Alligator mississippiensis: one gene and its partner. Each later gene encodes a partner of the first gene's protein in a complex. Links are inferred from orthologs where the notes say so. Each region holds a gene or a part of one and is shown on either strand. Other genes may lie near its edges.

Region 1 (9,792 bases):
TAAAATGAAAAAGCCAAGTTTGTCCAAGCTATGTGGGAAGCACACCAGTTTCTGTAGCCAATAGCACAACATCATGCCTAGTGACCGACTCACCAGCCTGAAAGACCAGGATCCCAATTACAGTAGGGCATGCAAGGCCAGAGCAAGCCTTGATGCCATGTCTCTGGAGCCACTGTCTTATTCTGTATGCCTGTCAAGAAGGTAAATATTTTCAGTTTACAGCTAATGAAGCTAATAAAAGGCTGTCAGACTCATCTGGTCACATGTGCTTGGAAACAGACTCCATAAGATTTAACTCTTAGATCCTTATCCTAACTGCTAAACTAGATCATTACCTGTTCCAAATCTGAATGTCTAGCTTAGCAATTCCTGCTACATATTTATTATTTATATTCTAGCAAAACCAAAGATGCATTAGGAATAATATCACAGAGAAAAAATGGGCAGTGTTGAATAGAAAAATATGCATACAAGCCATCTTACCAGGCTGGTGAAAAGTACATGTCTTGCTAGGACCAGGGTGCTGATCATGTTTTAATCTATTATTTTCAATAGCAAAAAGCTAAAGAAGCAAGGTGACTTAAGGAAAAAAATTATACCAAACTCTTGCCAGTAAGAGTAATTTCATGGAACTTTGTCATCTTCAGTAACAAATGATTACATGCATTTCTCTTGTATACGGAAGCATAACTAGGCTTAACCCTTGGGGGGGGGGGGGAAACCACTGTACCCTGAGCACATTTAAGATGGATTTGAGACCCTCAAATGAGTCTATTTTGTATTGCTTAAAACTTTACCAAGACTTGCCCACACCAGATGGATGTAGGAAGTATCTTTCAGGAGTTTAGTTCTTTTTTTTTTTTTTTTTGAGATGGGTGCTAGAAAGGATGGATGGAAAATATTTTACTTTAGTCCAAACAAGACTTTAATAAGACCAGAAGAAAATTCATAGCAAATCCCTCCATCCTCTCAGCAAATACCACACACAATGGCAGCTGGAGATTTTTGGAGAATATGACTGTCGTATCTGTACTATTAAGCATATCCGTAACATTAAAAATAGATGGCATTTCAAACACTAAGTATATAAAGAACCCCTTATTTTTTAGATTAGCTTTAGAATACTAACAAGAACAATGTGCCGTGTCTTATGTAGGCATCAATAAAAAAAAAAAAACACAAGAGCAGCAAGAATAGTAAGTTACAAGTTACATTAGCTTTCCTTTGATCTGTTCAACACTTGCAGAAAAGTGCGCTCTCTCTCTTCTATATGCAACTAATTATCATTCCCTGATCACATCCAGACCATAGGGTCTCAACTAGTCTTACTAATATTAATAGCACCTTTGCACAAATATAAAAGTTATTTCTTATCCAACTTCATTAAACAAATTTGTCCAAAACAATTGTCATACACACTTTCATCAATACTACCCTGATAAAAATCCAAACAACAGACAGTTTCCATTAAATATATCCAAGTTCTGTCAACCACGTGAGTTATTTTGCATCATATCAGAAACAGTGCAAATACACACACACACACACTTTAATGCAAAATATACATTCCCCCCCACCCTGATTAGAATATATCCTTACAAAATTAAACTGGGCGTCAGTCTTCTGGAACTTCCCAAATTTTCAGAGGAGGTAGCATCTGCCAATTAATAAAGAAAAAAAAATGATGCAATTGGGTTTAAATGCAGAGGTCTATTCTCCAGTGACTGCATGAAAGATCTATGTGAGCTATGACCATTCTGGCTAATGAGAATTGTATGCAATTTCCCAGAGCACAGATAGAGGACAAGTATTACAGTCTAAGGAGGGATGTCTTAGGGTATTACAGCTCTAGAAAATGTAATAAATAGCCCATTTACTATCCTGTACATAGTAAGAGTATGCAAATGCTTGCCTGACCTTTATGCAAAGTATCTGTGCCTTTGCCATGTGCCACTACTAGCTGACCTATGAGATTAAAATCCTTTGTAATGGTTATTAAACGTACTACAATTAGACAGTATTGATGAATTGCATACCATTCACTAATTGAATGGTACAATCACTATTCACATTTTATTTTGTTACTTCCTGTTTTTCACCCAGTTTGATACTGAACCTTTTTGTTGGTTAAGTTCCACATCAGCCGAGTGATATAACATATGCTTGGAAATATTAGAAAATATATTTCCATTTGATTTCTATTTTCAACTTCATAGAAATATTTCAGTTGCTCTTGGGTTTGGTAATTTTTATTTTGCAATAACAAACCTGGCCCAAATTCAACCTGGTGGTCTCTAATACCTCTATATAGTAATAATAATAATTAAAAAAAAATCAATAAATACATGTGTATAGATGTGTATATGGAGTCTAATGGATATTTATTCACTGATTTTTTTTGTTAACAAGTTACCTAAATATCCTAAATTGGGGGTATAAATGAAAGTAAAAGATGTGGTATGTGGCTTTTATAATATGGTGCTAATACTAAAAAAAAAAAATGCAGAGCTTGGATTGCAAGACTCTTTTGCAAATTAAGCCACTCTGCTGGAGAGACTCGAGAAAAAACATGTGATTAGTCCATTTTGGTGCCATAGCTGTCAAGTATTAAATAGTTTCAATTTCCTTTGACTTCAGTTCATTGGAAAAATATCCCTCTTAGAGATGCCACTCAGACAAGAAGAAAGAAGATGGTCCATGTGACTGAGGTTAATCCTTTTGTATTTTGTATAACAGACTGATTATCTGGCAGATATTTCCTACCACTCAGTATGTCAGTACTCTTTCTATACTAGAGGGCTGATATTAGAATTTGATTAAGTGAATTTGGGGAGGGGGGAGGTCTCATCCTGGCTTTCACTACTATCATTAGATTGATGTAGGACAAAGGCACCTGTTATATTGAGATGGGCATCATCACCTGTTGCAGTTCAGAAATGAGGATCACTGGCAAACAAAGAAGGACAGGAGTTGAAGCATTCACACACATACATTGTGCCTTCATCTGGCTAGAGATATGGGCCCATTAAGTTTAAGAAAAGCTATCTGCTTGAACTGGGCAGAAGTCAGACTATCCAATTATCCCCCCTCCACAGATAACAAAAGGGATACAAGTAGAAGATCATATTCTGTTTCTCTTTTGCCATCATGTCTGGCTCTAAAGGTCATAAAATTATGTCCCTGCTCAGGAAACTTGTAAGAAATGTTTATTGTGGAAACGCTGAGATCTTAACTGTGCACACAACATAGCCATGCTACAGCTGAGTACTAGGATGTTCCAGTGGGAACCTTGCTGTTCCAATGAAGTGACTGTCCTCATTCAGAGGACGAGTCATTGAACAAAATGACTTAGTGTCATGTTGCATTCAAATCCTTTCTTTGACAAGATTTTTTTTTGTGTTTAGTTAATAATAAGGGGTCGATAGCAAATGCAAGCTCTTCATCTGTTGATCTATGAATAAATCAATGTATAGTATTATATTTCAAGAAGGAACTGATCCTTGTGTCTGTCAGCAAATCTTATATCAGAACAGTTCTCTGGGTTTCTGCTTGAAGCAAAATGCACAAGTGCAAAGTAAAAATAAAGAACCCAGCCTATGTCTAGGGATGCCACCTCTGTTTGAATCTATTCTGGGAGGCTTCATTACTTGACATAATGACATAAGTTACTTGACATCAGGAAAGCAAGTGCACACAACTATTACGTTTTAAAAACCCGCTGGACTACTGTATAAATCGGATCCAATATTTAATGTTTATTTTAACGAATACCCTATCATTTATCTTCTGGGTGACTCTCAGCAATCTCCTGGAGATTTATATCCAATTTCTGGAGATGCCAGGGAAATCCTGGAGGACTGGCAACCCTACTTATGTCTGATTTCTCCCCCTTTAAAACGAGGATAGTATTAGCAATCTCCTACATAACAAGCTTTGAAATCAAGAGAGATATACAAGATTTAAGCTGTCTTCTGGGCAGCATCGCCTGGCTCGGCACCAACTACCACTTATCAGAGGCGTCCTGGGGAAGCGGAGTTTATACTGGGACTATTCCTGTTAAGCAAGTTTCCCCGTAATCGCTCGGCGCATCTGTCCGTGCGAGAAGCGCCCAGTCACTGTGGCATCCAGCTACCAGACGCGAGCGCTAAAGGGACGTTCAGGTCTGGGGCCCCTGCCAAGCCGACGGCATTTCCAGGCATCTCAACATCACCCATGTTTTCCCCTGAAGTTGCTCTTCCCCCAGGGCGAAGGACGCTCCCTGGCACCAGCTGCTGCAAGAGGAACTAACAGAGCCCAGCTCATCCTGCTGCCACCATGTCCCAGCGCAGGCCCACTGCTAATATTACCACCCCCGTCCACGCTCAGCGCAACCAGCACCCAGCATCCCCGCCACCCCGCTCGGCCTCCCGCTTCCTCATGCTTCCCCCTGGCTCTGGCAGACCCCCCCCCGGCTGCAGGGGCTGAGCGCGGGGCCCACACAACCGAGCCCTGCGTGCCCCCCGCCCCAGGGCGCACCCGCACTCACCACCCGCTGCTGCTACCGCTGCCACCGCCGCGCGCCGGGGGCTGCCGCCGGCGCCTCCTCATAACCCGGCCCGGGACGGCCCAGGCCCCGCCCTCGTTGCTACGCCGCCGGGCCACAGCCACGTGACCCCCGTCGGGACCCGCCCGCCCCGCGTCACGTGACTCGGACCCACGTGACGGGCAGGTGTTCACATGATCCTCGCGTTTTTCAGCCCGCACAGAATCGCGGGCCTCGGGGGCGGGGCGGGGCGGGGCGCTTGTGGCCCCCGAAGTATTTCCCTGCCGGCCAGAGGAAGCGGAGCTGGGCACAGACGGGAGGGTGGGAGGTGGCAGGATCTTTTCTTTGCGCCGGGACCCGAGGGACGAAGAAGATGCGAGCGCGGCCGGAGCAGGCAAACACCTGGTGGTGCACGGCGCGTGCATCAGCAATCTGGTCAGGTGCCTGATGAAGCCCTTGTCGCTGACGAGCCTGGTTCGGGAGCAGCCCGGCGTGTTACAGTGTGTCGGATCCAGGTGCCATTTTAACTTTACAGCCTGCTGCTCCGGCTCAAAGCTGCGCCCAGTGAGTGCCGGATCTTCCCTCCAGCCTGGAGGAGGTTCTGCTCACTCCTCCCAGAAGGACTCCATATAATTTGGCACAACCCTGGCTTCTAGAGCAGTCTCAGACCTTTGCTGTACAAAATGTTTTGGGGGATACAGGTTACAGCATCACTTAAATGTACTTGCTTGTAAATTCAGCCACATCATTTTGACAGCAGGAGGGGAATGAATACCCAGTAGAGGTCTTTGTCACCCACCTGTACATAGCTGCAAAATAAAAAGCCTGCTGCAGTCAGCTTGTGCAATCCCGTCTGCAGCTAGATTACACAAGGACGTGCCTTTGTGCAGCAGGATGTCACATGTGGTTCAATGTACTTGGACAAAAACTAAATTAGATTATCCAGTCATCACGAGCTTTTAAAGGCATAGGTGATACAAAATAGCAACCGTTTATTCTAGAGGCTGGTGTAGAGTAAGATTCAGCACATCAAAAGGCATTACTATGGAGCCTAGAGGCCCTACAGTCTTAAGTACTGAAAGACAGCAAGCCAAAGTCCTGTCTCTTGTAGAGTTAGTTACTACCACTGTTCTGCAGGATGCTTTTGCATTTTTACAACTCTGGAGACAGAGGAAGTGGTCTGTTTTCAAATAATGCTCCATAACACAGCACATCTTTTGTCAAAGAGAACTGCTTGACTTATTTGTTATGCTAGTTACTAAAGAGACATTTACTAACTGCAGAATTAACATCAGTATATTTTACTGGATAAACACTGAAAGTCATCATCAGGAGGAGGCACAGAAAGTGGGACTAGCAGATTAGGATTCTATAACCAAGCCCCTCTAAGCAGAAGACTGAAATAGGGTACCTATATTCCTAGCTCCAATAACTAAGTGACCAATGTCCCTTGAAGCCTTCAAGACTGCTGTGCAAGTAAAATGGCATAAAAAAGCACTTCCTAATCTTTTCAATTATGCAAGCCTACTTTTAGTGCAAGTCCAACTCTTCGAAGAGAACTGCTGTTGGAGTAACAACCCCAGCTTAGAAACTACTGATAGGAAATAGAGAAACCACCCCACTTCATGAACGAGAGAAAAGTACAACTAGTATGCACTGCATTTTACATGGTAAAGTCCAATGCTCCAATTTCAATTACGGAGTGGGCCCAATACTAAGGCAGATCTCCCTGCATTGGGTCCATAAATGTCTATTTTTAACAGGATCCAAGAAAAACATGTTTTAGAACACTTATTTATGCATGTTTTCTTTATGGACCTCATTGAAATAAACCCTTAAAAAAAACTATTTTTTTTTAACCAAAATGCTTAACATTTCTTACTATAAAATATGGGACAGGAACAAACTAGATGAAACAGGAGTTTAATGCATTTATTATACCAGTAATGCCATGAGGTACATGGCAATCAGTAAACGGATGCAATTACACATATGACATAAGCATGTTTTAATGGAAAATCCACACCAGTTCAGGGTTTTAATCACTGTAAATCAAAAGCTAGTCTTCTCTCCATTCCTTTGGAGTGACTCTGCCAACTGGTGACAAATTCCACTCTATTCCAATTTGTGTTGCCGCCTGGAAGAGGATAAAGTTACAAGAAGAAATTAATGTACCCTTAAGTCAGGAAAAACCCATATTTTTAAGTTAGCTGCATAAAGCAGTTGACACAAATTCTGTTTTTCTTAAAGTTAGATTTCAAATAGCTGTTTGAAGACAACTTGGAGAGTACACTGAAGTCATTTTATTTTCTAGTAGTACATTTTTAGACATCAAACCTAACAATTTTATTCACTCTTTATTATAGCAATAGCATTAATATATCTATACTAGAAGAGTAATTTGTATTTCAAGCATGTAGTAATTCTCTTAAGATCCACCTCATACTTGTAATATTATACAGTGCAAGAACCAGATGTATAGTCCTCTAACTTAAAACCACATGCTGCTTTCCCAAACCATATATTTAAGTTCAGCATATGCAACAGCATTAGAATAATACATCTCTCTTATAATATAGCTACCCATTACTTTAATCAAAATAAGGGAATTTGAGAATTTAACATCTTTTCTTTTTACATGAAAGTACATAAAAATAAACCACTTATTAGCTCATGTTTAATTACATTGCCCTCCTAACCAAGATTTCTAAGTGGCAATAAAATAGGTGTTCAATAGACAGTTACTCTGAATGTCAAGTCTAAGCCTGAATTTAAAAATCTCTTCCATTTCTACTATTATTTCATAAGTCATTTTCTTTTAGGAAGCTCTGAAACCCTGATTTTGCATTGTGTACCACACAGACAAATGCTTAAAGTAACTATCAGTTTGCAAGATCAGGGCTACATTTGCATCAGACCCCCATCAGTGGTACCAGTTACACAATACTTACGTATGTCCACACAGCGAGGCAAAATACAGTTCCACCAATTAGCACCATGTTTCCATATTTATCATGAAAGTCAGGTTCATGTTTCTGATGAACCTGTCTTGCTGAAATCCTCCAAATGTCCCGAGCTAAAAGAAATAAATGTAAGGTTCAAAGGGAGATCTACAAATGGATTAAAATACTCAGCTCTCCAGGAAGCTCCACCCATTCAGAGATGGATATACTAAACACAAGGATGCTTTCTATTCAAATAAATCAGTTTAATTCATTTTGTTGGTGAATAGTTTTAAAAATCTCAATAAGAAGTACAATTCAAGAATCCTCCACGCAAATGAACATTTGCTATCTCCTTTTACACTCTCCAATGCTGCACTATTTCTTCAGTTACTAAAACACATAACTGTGAATGATCACTGATCAGTCATGAACTCCAAGGAAGTCTACCTTTAATTTAAACTTTACTAGAAGTAACTAGAGTACTAGTACTGTGGGGCAGATAATGCTGAATTAGATACAAGAAGAGGGGCTGGGGACTGCAGGATTTGTTGTTTTCTTTTGTAGATACAGATGTAAACGTGAGGTCCAAACAAATGGCTTTGGAAGAGACCATATCAGCAGTTGTGCTGGGTAAAAAGCTCTTGGGGCAATAACAATAGGAAGTCCTGCTTTTAGTGAAAGGACTAATTTGGCAGGGGGGAAGGGGGTTCACTCTCCCCTTATGTGCCCACTCAGTGCCACTGTGACAAGTTTTATTTCAATTTAATGTTAATTCTATGCTGTTTCAGTAAAAAAACAAAACAAAACATTCTCTATCTGTGGCTCCAGTGAGATATCCTGGAGCACGAATTAGCTTCAAGGTACACACACTGAACAAGAGAGGTTGAGCTAGCAAGAAAAGGGGAAGGAGAATGGAAACAAAAATACCAAACACGCATGCAGGCTTTTCAGTGCCAACCTCAATGCTAACCTGCTTTCAAGGGAAGTAGAAAGTAGGCAAGAATAAGCAGCTATGGATTATTGAACTGTTACCAGCACTATATATTCTTCCAGGAACATTTCAGCAGTTTGGATTTATTATTATTATTATTATTTTACAGTAAAACCACCATAATAAACATTCCAAGAACACCTGTAACTTCAACCTAAACACCGTATGAAGTTAAACATTGGTATAAGATTCAGTTTGAATAAGTATGAAAAAAAACCTGCCACTGCATGCACCCTAATGACGCAGTCAATCTCTTCCTGGGCCGGACCCGATGACTTTAGGAGGTCCCTTCCAGCCCTAATGTCTACGGAACCTGTGAAATCCGAGGGCTTTCAGACGTTAACATTTATTTCTAACGGTCATCCTGCCACATCCAGCAGAAGACAAGCCAGTCATGCTGAAAGAGGCAGACAAGGTTTCTTTGGGAAGATGCGATCTCTTTTATTAGGCCAACTAAATCGTTGTGAAAACTGTTCGTTGCAAGCTTTGGGGCACAAACACCCTTCCTTCAAGCACGGGGAGAGTCTGCTGGGGTTTTGCCTTCTCAGTCTGTGCCCCAAAGCTTGCAACGAACAGTTTCCCCAACGATGCAGGCGGTGTAATAGAAGACATCTCATCTTCCCCATGAACCATGTCTGTGTCCCTACACCACCGACCCCCGCGGGAGCCCTCCTGCAGCCCTGCTCGCATCTGGGCGACCCCAGGCAGCCTCTCTCCATATTAAACAGTTTTTAATCGTTTTTGCTTTTCAAAGCAACAGACGAGGCGGCGCCCAGAGGGGCAGCAACCTGCATACCGAGACCCGATGCCAGGCCCGGCTTGGGGCTGCGAGACCGGGCAGGACGAGCGCTGCAACCATGTACCCCCGGGTCTGCCCTCAGCACGAGCCCTGCGTCCTCCAGGCCTCACAGCCCCTCTCCCCGCGGCAGGAGTGTCCCCCTCCCGGCCCCGCTCACCCGTGCGGCCCAGCGCGGCGCCGGCCCAGGGCAACATCGCGGCGAAAAAACCGGTCCCGCAGCAGCGCCCTTGGCTAACGGTGAAAAACAAAATGGCGACCAACCGGAAGTCGCCGCCCGCCACGCATGCGCAGAGGAGCAGGGCAGCCTGGGAAATGTAGTGTTGGGCCAGGGCTCGGGAAACGCGCGGCTGTGCAGCGGAGGGCGGCGGGTGGGGACCGGGTAGAAGCGCCTTGGAACAGGAGGCAGTCCCGGCGCAGAGCTGTGGAAATCAGTGACGGGGGTGACAGGTGCGCAGTAAGACACTAAGGCGCTCCCCGCGGTTCAATGTAGCACAGTGTCAGGATGGCCGAGTGGTCTAAGGCGCCAGACTCAAGG
Region 2 (10,134 bases), on another chromosome or scaffold:
GAAGAGACCCCAGAGATGAGGAGCCAAGTCCTCTCCAGGTCATGACCCCCCCACATAAAATAATCATAGACTCATAGGACATGAGGGTTGGATGGGACCTCCGGAGGTCGCATCTCGTCCAACCCCCTGCTCCAAGCAAGACCAGCCCCAACTGCATCATCCCAGACAAGAATCTGTCTTAAACACCTCCAAGGATGGAGACGCCACCACCTCTCTGGGTAACCCGTCCTAGTGCTTCACCACCCTCCTAGGGAAAGAATTTTTCCTAATATCTAACCTCGACTTCTCTTGCTGCAACTGGAGCCCATTGCTCCTTGTCCTGTCATCTGTCCCCACTGAGACCAGTCCAGCTCCATCCTCTTCGCAGCCCCCCTGCAGGGAGGTGAAGGCTGCTATTAGCACCCTCCAGTCTCTTTTGCAAACTGGTTTGGATGGAGCTGATCCTGCCTTAGGAGGGGACCTTCCTCTGAGCCGGGGGGTGCTTGCCCCCCTGCCTGGGCTCTAAACACTAGCCCAGCTGCCCATACCCCTGCATGCACTAGGTGCGCGGGGTGGCTGCAACCCGAACCCAAATCCGAATCCGCTCCGGCGTTACAAGTGGCTGCAGCCAGGCAGGAGGTGGAGGTGGAGCAGGCACAAAACTGGAGTGGGGGGCCCAAAACTGGACACAGGACTCCAGGCGTGGCCTCACCCGTACCGAATAGAGGGGAAGAATCACTTCCCTCCATTTGCTGGCAATGCTCCTACCGATGCAGCCCAGGATGCCCTTACCCTTCTTGGCAACACGGGCACACTGCTGACCCATCTCCATCTTCTTGTCCCCTGTCACCCCAGGTCCTTTTCTGCAGAGCTGCTGCCCAGCCCGTCACCCCCAGCCTGCACCGGTGCATGGGATTGCTTTGTCCGAAGTGCAGGACTTTGCATGTGTCCTAATTCAACCTCAGGAGATTTCTTTTGGCCCAATCCTCCAGTATGTTGAGGTCTCTCTGAATCTCCCTCTATTGCAATTCCCCTCAATTGCAGTTCTTTATTGCCTCTCCTCTCCCACGGTCTCTTCCCTTGCCTGAATCCCCACAACGCCTACCTATAGGAAGCAGGCACAGGCAGGCTTTTCTAGCATCTGTCACTGGAGGGTTGACCCCCTCAGCCTCCATCTCCTCCCCGAGTCTACTTGGGAAATGCTAGTGGGGAGGGGGGGCATTCTGCAATAATAAACCCTTTACAGGTGGGGAAACTGAGGCACACAGGCAAATATGGCCTTCCCCCAAAGTCAAATGGCAAAGCCCAGCTCCGTCCCTCTCACCACTAGACATCCTTGTCCCTTTGGTGCACAGATACATCCTTAGAAACAACTAGAAGTTCAAAGCAGCTGGCCAAGGGGAACAAGGGCTCGAGACTGAACACAGGAACTTGGTTTCTGTAGCAGCAGGGATCTCAAAAACAGCCAGGGCATGCATTTAATTAAAAACACTATCCCCAGAAACTGGGGATACCAGCTGACATGTGTTATTGGGGCCCCATATAAGTCCCATCAGGCAAGAAAGATGAGTAGCCAGGCTCCTTCCTGCTCCTTCCAAAGGCCTTCCTCACTCTCTGGTGCAGCAAGCTGCTACATCAGTGAGAGGCTCAGAGGGATGGACTGTCTCCCAGCTGGCAGGAACCAGAGTATTGTCTTGCTCTGCCTCCAGCGCAGCCGGCCAGAGAGAAGCATGCATGTGCAACCAGGCCCGGCGAGAGCCAGGTGTCCGGGCTGCATTTGCATTCGCCGCACATGCTCTCCACGGCATCGGGGCTGCCTCTGCTCATTGATTACCAGTTTCATGTGGCTCGTTTCTACCGGACTGCTGCCTGGTTTGCGGGGACCGCAGCCCGGCTCTCACGGTAAACACAGCTCGGCAGAAGGCTTCTGCACAACCAAACCACCCCAGGTCTTGCATACAGGATGAGGAGCCAGCCTGCACGTAGGAGCTGCAAGCTCTCTCCTTGCCGGGCTAGCTCTCCAGCTAAAGGCCCGGTCAGCTTGCATGAAGAACCGAAGCAGAACAGCTGAGAAAAGCCGCTGGCTTGGCAGGGCCCTCCCCTGAGCCAAGACGAAGGGGTGGGGTTGCTTTCTGGGAGCAGGAAGGAAAGCAGCCTCTTTGATCAGCGGGCTGGACAGGTCAACCTGCCCCTCTCGGGACCTTGCTGGGTCTGGCTGCAATCTGGGCTGGCGCTTGCACTGGGGCATCAGCGGCTTTTCCTCCTGCCCTCGGGACCAGGTCTGTAGCCCAAGCCAGTCCCGAGGCCCATAGCTGCCCTGCACTGCAAGAAGAGGAACTGGACTGGAATTTCCTGTTGTTGCGAGGCAGTTTTGCCCTCCTCCCCCACCGCTCTCAGGGTCACGGGAGTCTGCTGCAAGATTAATAATTAGTTACTGGCTCACCACCTGCCACGGCAGCAGAGTGAGGGGCAAGGTGAGTCTCTGGGGGATGCTACACCCACAGCACCCACTTCTGCACTCCTTCCCGAGCCCAAGGGGGATGCAGCCGGGCAGGGGTTACCCCAGGGCTGCCCCATTCCTCAGGCCTGGCGAGGGGATGTATTTTGGGGGTGGGCTCGATCTCCCAGGAGGGGTGCAGCAAGCAGGCTTTGAATACTGCCCTGCACCAGCTCCCATCCCCTTCTCCTTCTCCCTCTCTGTGTGAACACCTCCTACGGCTTCTGCTTCACACCTGGAGATGCTGATGTGCTTGGGCATGTTTCTCTATGCAGAGGATCCAGCAGGCTCCCTGGGGCCTCCTGGATGTGCCCAGGTAACAGGTTGAGGCTACCCTCAACCTCCTTCTGCACCGGCAAACCTGGTCCAGGGTGCCATTCGATGGAGAGTGCACACCAGGGAGGAGAGCAGGGACCTTGCACCAGCCTCTGCCAAGGAGAAGGGAGGAAGCAGAGGCTTGGCGCGAGGACTCCCGTTCCACGTGGCTCACTCGTCCCCTGGTACTTCTGCACCTGGCTGCTAGGCTGGGATGTAAATCATCATCAGCAGCAAGTTCGTTGCCACGCTTTGCAACCCGCCGCTGGCTCCCAGGCCTGGCGCAGTGCCACTCACCTCCCAGCTTATTCAGGACACGAGTGACCGCGTTGGAGCAGCCTTCGCAGGTCATGTCCACGAAGAACTCGTGCTTCTGAAACGAGGAGGAGGAGGAGAGGTTGGAGACGGCAATGAGGCCCGTTTTGCCTTGGGACTGCAGCTCACAGCGCAAGGCTGCTCCTCTCCAGAGAGGAGAGAGGAGAGCAAAACAGGCTCCTGCCGCAACCCCGCGGGGCACAACACGGGGACTCTCAGCATCGACCCAGGTTTCTGCACACCGTTCTCAAGCTTTTTAGGCTGGAGGCACCCCTCATCAGGCTTGCTAGAAAAGACCAGCTTTTCTTTTCACTCCTTTTCTGACTGCCCAAAACTGCTAGAGCCGTTCTTCTGTTGCAAAGGCCTCAGCAAAACCGCAGCAGGGCAGCACGGTTTTAGCACCATGAATTCCTACCGGAAAACTCTGGGTTTATCGTGCCAATCGTGTGCACGGCCAACTGCAACCCCACAACACCCCGAAAAGGATCTCAAGGCACCCCGGGTGCCACATCCCCGTGGCTGAGCGTCACTGCCCTAACATGATCGTGTTTTCGCACGCTCCTGTCTGCAACCACGTCTTGCCTCCTTTTAGGTAAGAGTTTTTGGGAAGGGACCCTGTTTTGCAGCTGAGCTGCAAGCCACGACTGCGGCTGCCGGTATACGTAACCGATAATCCCGCCCCTATACATGCACTGCACGGACCGATTGGGCACACTTAAACGGGACCCCGGCTGCCTGGTAGAGATGCCGGTAACAGCACAACTATTAAAAAGGAAAGCGGCCGGCTCTCCGCTCTCCCACACGGGCCGTCTGCTCACGATCGGGGATAATAACCGACTTTCCCACGACATCGCCCGGCCCGTTTCGAGGGAAAGCGTCTCGCCCTCGAAGCAGAGCCGAGCGCGTGGAGGCAGGACAAGGAGAGACACGGTGGCCCGGGGTCCGCTGAGCCCTGCGGGAAGTTGGGCAGGTCTGACGCTGCCTGGAGACCCCTCGGCGAGCGGCGGGGCGCCGAGCATCCTTCAAGCCATGGTGGGGCATCCTTCAAGCGAGGTCTGGGCACCTTTGGCATCGCTCGGGGCTAACGACGAGCCGCTGCTTCTGCCTCCTTAAGACTTGCCCCTGGGGCAGCTCCCAAAAGGATGCTTGCACGCCCTGGGGTCCGTCCTTGCACCCAACCCGTGGGCACCATCCTGGCAAGCTGGGGGGGGGGGGGTCCCGGGCACTGCCAGCCCCCAGCTGGTGGACGGGGGGGGGGATGCGCACCCCACCCAGGTCCGGATTCGGATCCGGATCGGGACCGGCGCAGGCACCCACCGGCATGGCTGCGGCGCGGCTCCGCGATGCAGCGGCAGCAGGATCCGGGCTCACGCAGGCCGCCGGGGCGGAGCCGGGGCCGGGGCAGAGCTCAGCCCGCTCCGCCTCCACTCCGCCTCCTGCCCGGCTGCAGCCGCGGGGACGCCGGAGCGGATTCGGATTCGGGCTGCTGCATGCAGCGCGCTGCGCCCGCTCCAGCCAAACCAGTGCGCCAAGGAGACCGGGGGGGCTGCAAAGAGCACGGAGCTGGGCTGGGCTGGGCTCAGTGGGGGCAGGCGCCAGAAGGAGCAATGGGCTCATCTTGCAGCAGGTTGGACATCAGGAGGGCGGTGAAGCGCTGGAGTCTGCGTGCTTGGAGGTGTTGAAGACCCACCTTGGCTGGGACGATGGAGTTGGGGCTGGTCCTGCCTGGACTAGGGAAGGGGGGGGGGACTCTTGAGGTCCCTTCCCACCCTCCTTTACTAAGATTCACCCCATGGGCAGACCTAGGATTTGGACAAATGGGTGCAGATGGCATGGCAGAGAGGGCAACCCTGTTTTTCTCCAGGGAAAGAGTAGCTAGAAACTTTAGTGATGGGCTCCGGGGGGGACTGCTATATTATCCCGCTGCAGAAGAAACTAAAAGCAATGTGCTACAGCGGAGATGAAGAGCATAGAGGAAGTTTAAAAGAAAACTCAAAACAACATCCTGAGTGCAGGGACAGGACCCTGTAGCCGGGAGCCTGCGGGTTTGAGTGCCAGCGGGAGCATTGGCACAGCTCAGTCGCAATCCCCACCTCTGAATAGCAGCAGAAAGGAAACCAATTCCTTCCCAGACCCATGTGGCAGCCCACAATGCCAATAGCCTGGGCAAAAGCACAGGCTGGGTCCACAGAGAAGCATCCCTTCCTCCCGAAATGGAGCTGTGGTGGGTGCGTGTGTTGGGAGGGGGGTGAATCAGGGAGGAGTTCCCTTCTGCAGCCTTCCTCTACATGTGGTGCATCTCTGCCCCTCTCTCCCGCCAGGCCAGGCTCAGCCACCTTCATTACATAAAAAGTGCATCCCCCTTTGGACGGCTCCGAACTGGCCTGGTGAAGTGGAATGGGTGTAAGTGCAATGGTTGAGGAACCGGGCTGTCCCGTACCCCGGACCTGCGCAGTATGTGTCCCCTGCCCACGCAACTGTCCCTCTAGGCCGTTCTGACGGCGGCGATTCCTCGGTGCCTGTCCCCCCGGGTCGTAGCTCCCGTAATGCCAACTCTCATGAAAAAAATCTCAAGACTCCTGTTTTCCAAGTCATATTAACTGTGACTCACGATCTCCTGATTAGAGAGAAAAAATCTCAGGGGTTTGTTTTCTTCTGGTCCGAGTAGAGAGCGCCAAGCTGGTAAGTCTATGGGGGGGAAAGAAAGGGGGGCAGATCAAGGACCCTTGCTCCCAAAACCACAGCCTCCCCATGCAACAGAGCCATGTGTGTATGTGTGTGTGTGTCCCTCACTCCCAAGCCACAGCCCCGCTGCTGCTTTCACTCCTGCCCTACAGCACCCCACATCCTGCCAAGGTGTACAGGGACACCCCCCCCCCCCCCGTTGGCTCCAAACCCCACCCAAACCTTCACAAATAACACCTCCCCCACATACACACACACACACACACTTCAAAACCAGCATCTCATGATTTACATTCCAAATCTCTTGATTTTTAAGAGTCTGTCTCTTGCTTTTTGACACTGGGGAGGTGGCAATACTGCAGCTCCCAGGAACACGGGGTTTCAGGAAAAGTAGGAAAGCCCCCACAGAAGTAGGGCAAACCGAGGGGAAAGACCGCAGCAAGTGTCAGGACAGCACGGGGGTTGCACGCGAGAGCGCTCGCTGCTCAGAACCACAGCAGCGCACGCCCTCAGAGGGAATCGCTGCACTCTCTGGTTCGAAAGAGGAGGAAAAGCCAACCGTGCAGTAGTTAACGTTGCTAGTGGGTGCGGGGGTGTTGCGTTACTGGTGCTTCCGGGAAAGACATGCCCACCGTGCAGCAAGAAGCAATACAACTAGTGTTTTTTGCAGTCACGCGGGTGGCAAGAACCATCCTAGGTTCATGAGCCACATCCGACGAGGCAGGATTTAGACCAAACTGCCCTTTATTTCACCCTGCTGAAAGCAAGTCTAATCTACACTATAAGTGAGCCCGCTCCCTGGGATGGAAGATATTTCATTAGCAGGTTGTGGGGGGTGGCGTGTGGTTCTTAGGTTTCATCTTGGCTGGAGGAACTTACCTCGGATAACCTGATAGCGCTGCAGGGCCTCACCCACTTACATATTTTTCCTCCCTTCCCCATGGGGGTAATGAGCCAGAGCTGGTAAAATTTTGGAAGAAAGGTAAGGGATTTTTTTTTCTTTTAAAGAAATAACAAAAGATTTCCACTCTTAATTAGGAAATGGATTAAAGCTGATGTCAAGTGTGCCTAATAATTACTAGGAATTTGATTGGGTTTGGGGGGGGGGTTGAATTTTTCCTAGCTAAAGTCTGCTGGGGAAAATAAAGTCTCATTTGAGTGTTGGGGGGTGAATTGGGGAGGGTCAAGGCAGCCATGTGAGCCAAAGAGGTTTGAAAGGCTGGTGATTCAGAAACTTTGCAGCTGGTTTGATGTGGATCCTTGGCAGCTGTGAGGGATTCAGTTTAGCACAGGCTGCCCTGCATAGCATGATTAAAGGGCTAATATCAGTGTGGGATACAAAGGTTGATGGGGGAGTGGGAAAGGGAAATGGCTGTGAAGATAAGGCTGGAGCTGGTTGCGTTAGGCTAGCTGGGAGGCATTGGCTGGGCTTTGTTTGGTTGCTTCGGCTCATGAGATTTAAGAGATTATAGGGGTGTTGTGTGGGGTGACAGTCTTGTCGATGCCCCATGTGAAGGGTCCGTGTCCCAGTCTTTGTAGGGACTCCCTTGCGGTCTCTGCTTGGTGGGGAGAAGCAGTCTGCTTTTGGCCCCTGTGTTTGCTTATCCCCCTGGAGAAGCGGAGCAGGGGAAGAGCGTGTGGGAGCTGGGTCCCAGGTGTGCGGGGGAGAGAGGTGTTTCCCGTGGGGGTGCAGAGATCCCAGGAAGGATGGAGCCGAGGCTGGGAAGAGCGGGGTCACTGCAGGACTGGAGTGAGGAGCGTCGGCAGAGCGGTGCGGGGGGCCTGGAGCAGGGATCAAAGGAGTGCAGTAGGTCAGGGTGGAAATATGTCGGCAGGGCTGCACGGAGGGGGAAGTCACAGGCAGCAGCTGTCTACTTCATGCCTGGCTCAAACTTCCCTTTCTCCCGTATCTCAGGTGGAAAAATCACCAGATATCTCACGCTCTGCTGCCTACAGCAAGCAAAGCTGTTCCACAAACCTGGAAAAATACCCATTTCTAATAGGTGCCCCCTCCCAAACTTGCTTTCTCCCTGGGGGCATCAGCAGCGCATCCCACCTGGAAGACAACACCAAGTCTCCTTAACACAGGGGTCAGGCTGGATGCTGTTTTGCCGCAGCCTCTGGTCACTGCTCTAATAGGAGGCACTGATCCGGCTCTTTTGCAAGGGAGAGGTGACTTGGGAGCAGGGATCTCTGCGCTCTGACGGGTGACCGAGGTCCCCCTGCACGGCGGAGAGAGGGGGGCTCTGTTACGTGGCTGTCCTGTGCGGTCACTTGCCTCCTATTAAACTCAGCAGGGGCCTGTGCCTCTGATTTATGAGCTGGCGGCTCGCAATGCAGCTCAGTATATAAATAGCAAGGGGGGGGGGGGTGCAGAAAGGGAGGGTATTCATGCCACGGATGGCATAAGGCCAGCCCCATCCTTGTGAATCCCTGCCTGAGAGCATGGGGGAGGCGGTTTCCATGACTTGTCCTCCCGTGGCCTTTGATTCCTGCTGTCCCAAACCTGGGTAGCATGTGGCAACGCCCTGGGTAATTACCACTGCTTCGAGCTAATTAGTCCAGCAACGCTCCTAGGCTAAAAGCTGCTTGGGGAGTAGCATCTCTGCTTGCCGCCGGCGGTCCAGCGATGACCGCTGGTTTGCACGACGGTTTCTACCCGTGTGTTGGCTCGGGACGAGGCCTTGCTATGGGGTCTGATATGACCCCCTCTCTGGAGGGTGCCTGGGTGGGGACGGGGTAATGCGCGTGGACGGGGAAGGAAGACTTGGCCTTTTTGGAGGAGCTCCTAGGAGCAGGTGGATGCCACCGGCGGAAGGTGCCCGGGGAAGCTCTGCGATCCCCATGGCCAGAGAGGTGAGACCCCGCGTCGTGCTGCTCCTGGGGCCGGGGTGCAGCGCTCCACCCTGGACTGGGGACGTTTTTAGGCGGGGGGAACTTGGCTTTGCATCTGTTTGGTTGCCGCTTTGTAGCGGAGAAGTGATGGCAGCCACGTGCTGGGCCATGGGGGTGGTCGCGGAGGGGCCGTGGGTGCCCGCCGAGGCTCTGCAGGCTGGAAGGTGCGTGTTGGGCCGGGCGTGGGGGGCCTGCAGCAGCCCTGCAGGGAGATGGGGCTGGGTCTTGTACGCATTAGGGGGAATTCATGAGTGAGTGGGTGGGTGGGGGGAAATCCCGGGTTGGGAAAACCAGCATGGGGAAAAATTAATGGGGCGGGGAAAATCACGCGTGGGGTAAGTGTGCTGCGGGTCGCGCGTGGGGCTGGGACAGCGCGCAGCCGTGCAGCCTCCCCTCCAGTAGGGGGCGCTCTGAGCAGGCAGAGCCGCGGCCCCTTTAAGACGCCGCAGCCCGCGGCCTATCGATCACGGGCAGGCGCGCGCGCTCATTGGCTGAGCCGCGCCAGGGTTGCCGCCCCTGCCTCCACACGGGGTCTCCCTCAGAAGGCCCACGGGCTGATCGCTACGGCTCAACCGCACTCGGCAACCCGTCCTGACTGACCCTTGCGCCTTAATGGCGATGGGAGCGTCGCCCTATTGGCCGGGCGGCCAATCCATCCAGCCTTATCCCACCTCCACGGCTTCCCTCTGGCTTCCTACTGGCTGCTCCGCGCGCCCGGCCGCTCCAACAGCGCCGCCGCTCCGTAGGGCGGCTCGCCTGCCGCTCAACCCCCTTCCCGCCTCTTTGCCCACTCGCCAGCCAACCAGCTTCCGAGTGGGCCAAGTCGCCGACCTCCCATTGGCTGTGGGCGCCGCCGTGGGGCTAGGCTGCGCCGCGGCTATATAGGGAGCAGCCGGTGCCGGAGCACGCCGTTGCGTGAGGTGCTTCTCGTCGCCCGGTGCTGAAGCGACGCCTCCCGCTGCCGGCCCCGCTCCGCTCGCAGGTCAGCGCCGCCGCCCGGCCCTGCTGCCGCCGGCGGTTGGTGCCCCGGGAGGGGGGGGAGGGGCGCGTTCCCCTCACGCGCGGGGGTGGGGCGGGCGGGGGGAGGGGTCGCGGCCCAGCTTTGTCCTCGCGCGTGGGGAGGGAGGGAGCGGGGGGGGGAGGGGCGCGAGTCCCGCTCCCACGTCCGCCTCTTCCCGCCCCAAGAATGAAAGAGATGGCGGCGGCGGCCGCGCACGAGGGGCCTTGGGCGGGGAAGAGCCGGGCCCGGCTCCGCACGAGGACACCCGCCTACTTACCGACCGGCACACCTACCTACCTCCCCCCGTCTAACTACCCACCCACCTGCCTGCACACCCACGTACCTATAGCGACAACCTCTCTGTGCAGCTATCCATATAATTAATCTATATACATATATATATATATATATTTTTTCCCCCCAAAAAAACCTTCCCTACAAACGGATT

What was found.
Region 2: the proteins of ATP7A (region 1) and ATOX1 are in contact, whole or in part, in an NMR structure (PDB 2K1R), measured with the Homo sapiens proteins. The link is inferred for Alligator mississippiensis from reciprocal best matches to the Homo sapiens genes ATP7A and ATOX1. Residues at the interface, in NP_000043.4 of Homo sapiens: Cys19, Asn20, Ser21, Cys22, Trp24, Thr25, Gln29, Asp67, Asp68, Met69, Gly70, Phe71, Asp72; in NP_004036.1 of Homo sapiens: Thr11, Cys12, Gly13, Gly14, Cys15, Ala18, Arg21, Val22, Lys25, Lys57, Thr58, Gly59, Lys60.

What each region holds. Positions count from the first base shown.
Region 1 is NC_081831.1:66,215,894-66,225,685, reverse strand, and holds the start of ATP7A (copper-transporting ATPase 1), read right to left. Parts: upstream 4,631-9,792; 5' UTR 4,526-4,630; intron 1,658-4,525; 5' UTR 1,600-1,657; intron 191-1,599; 5' UTR 94-190; intron 1-93. Other genes in the region: cytochrome c oxidase subunit 7B, mitochondrial, read right to left, coding at 6,582-6,659, 7,474-7,598, 9,415-9,451. UniProt on the Homo sapiens protein: ATP-driven copper (Cu(+)) ion pump that plays an important role in intracellular copper ion homeostasis.
Region 2 is NC_081832.1:75,764,713-75,774,846, forward strand, and holds the start of ATOX1 (copper transport protein ATOX1), read right to left. Parts: upstream 4,524-10,134; 5' UTR 4,430-4,523; coding exon 4,424-4,429; intron 3,165-4,423; coding exon 3,089-3,164; intron 1-3,088. UniProt on the Homo sapiens protein: Binds and deliver cytosolic copper to the copper ATPase proteins. May be important in cellular antioxidant defense.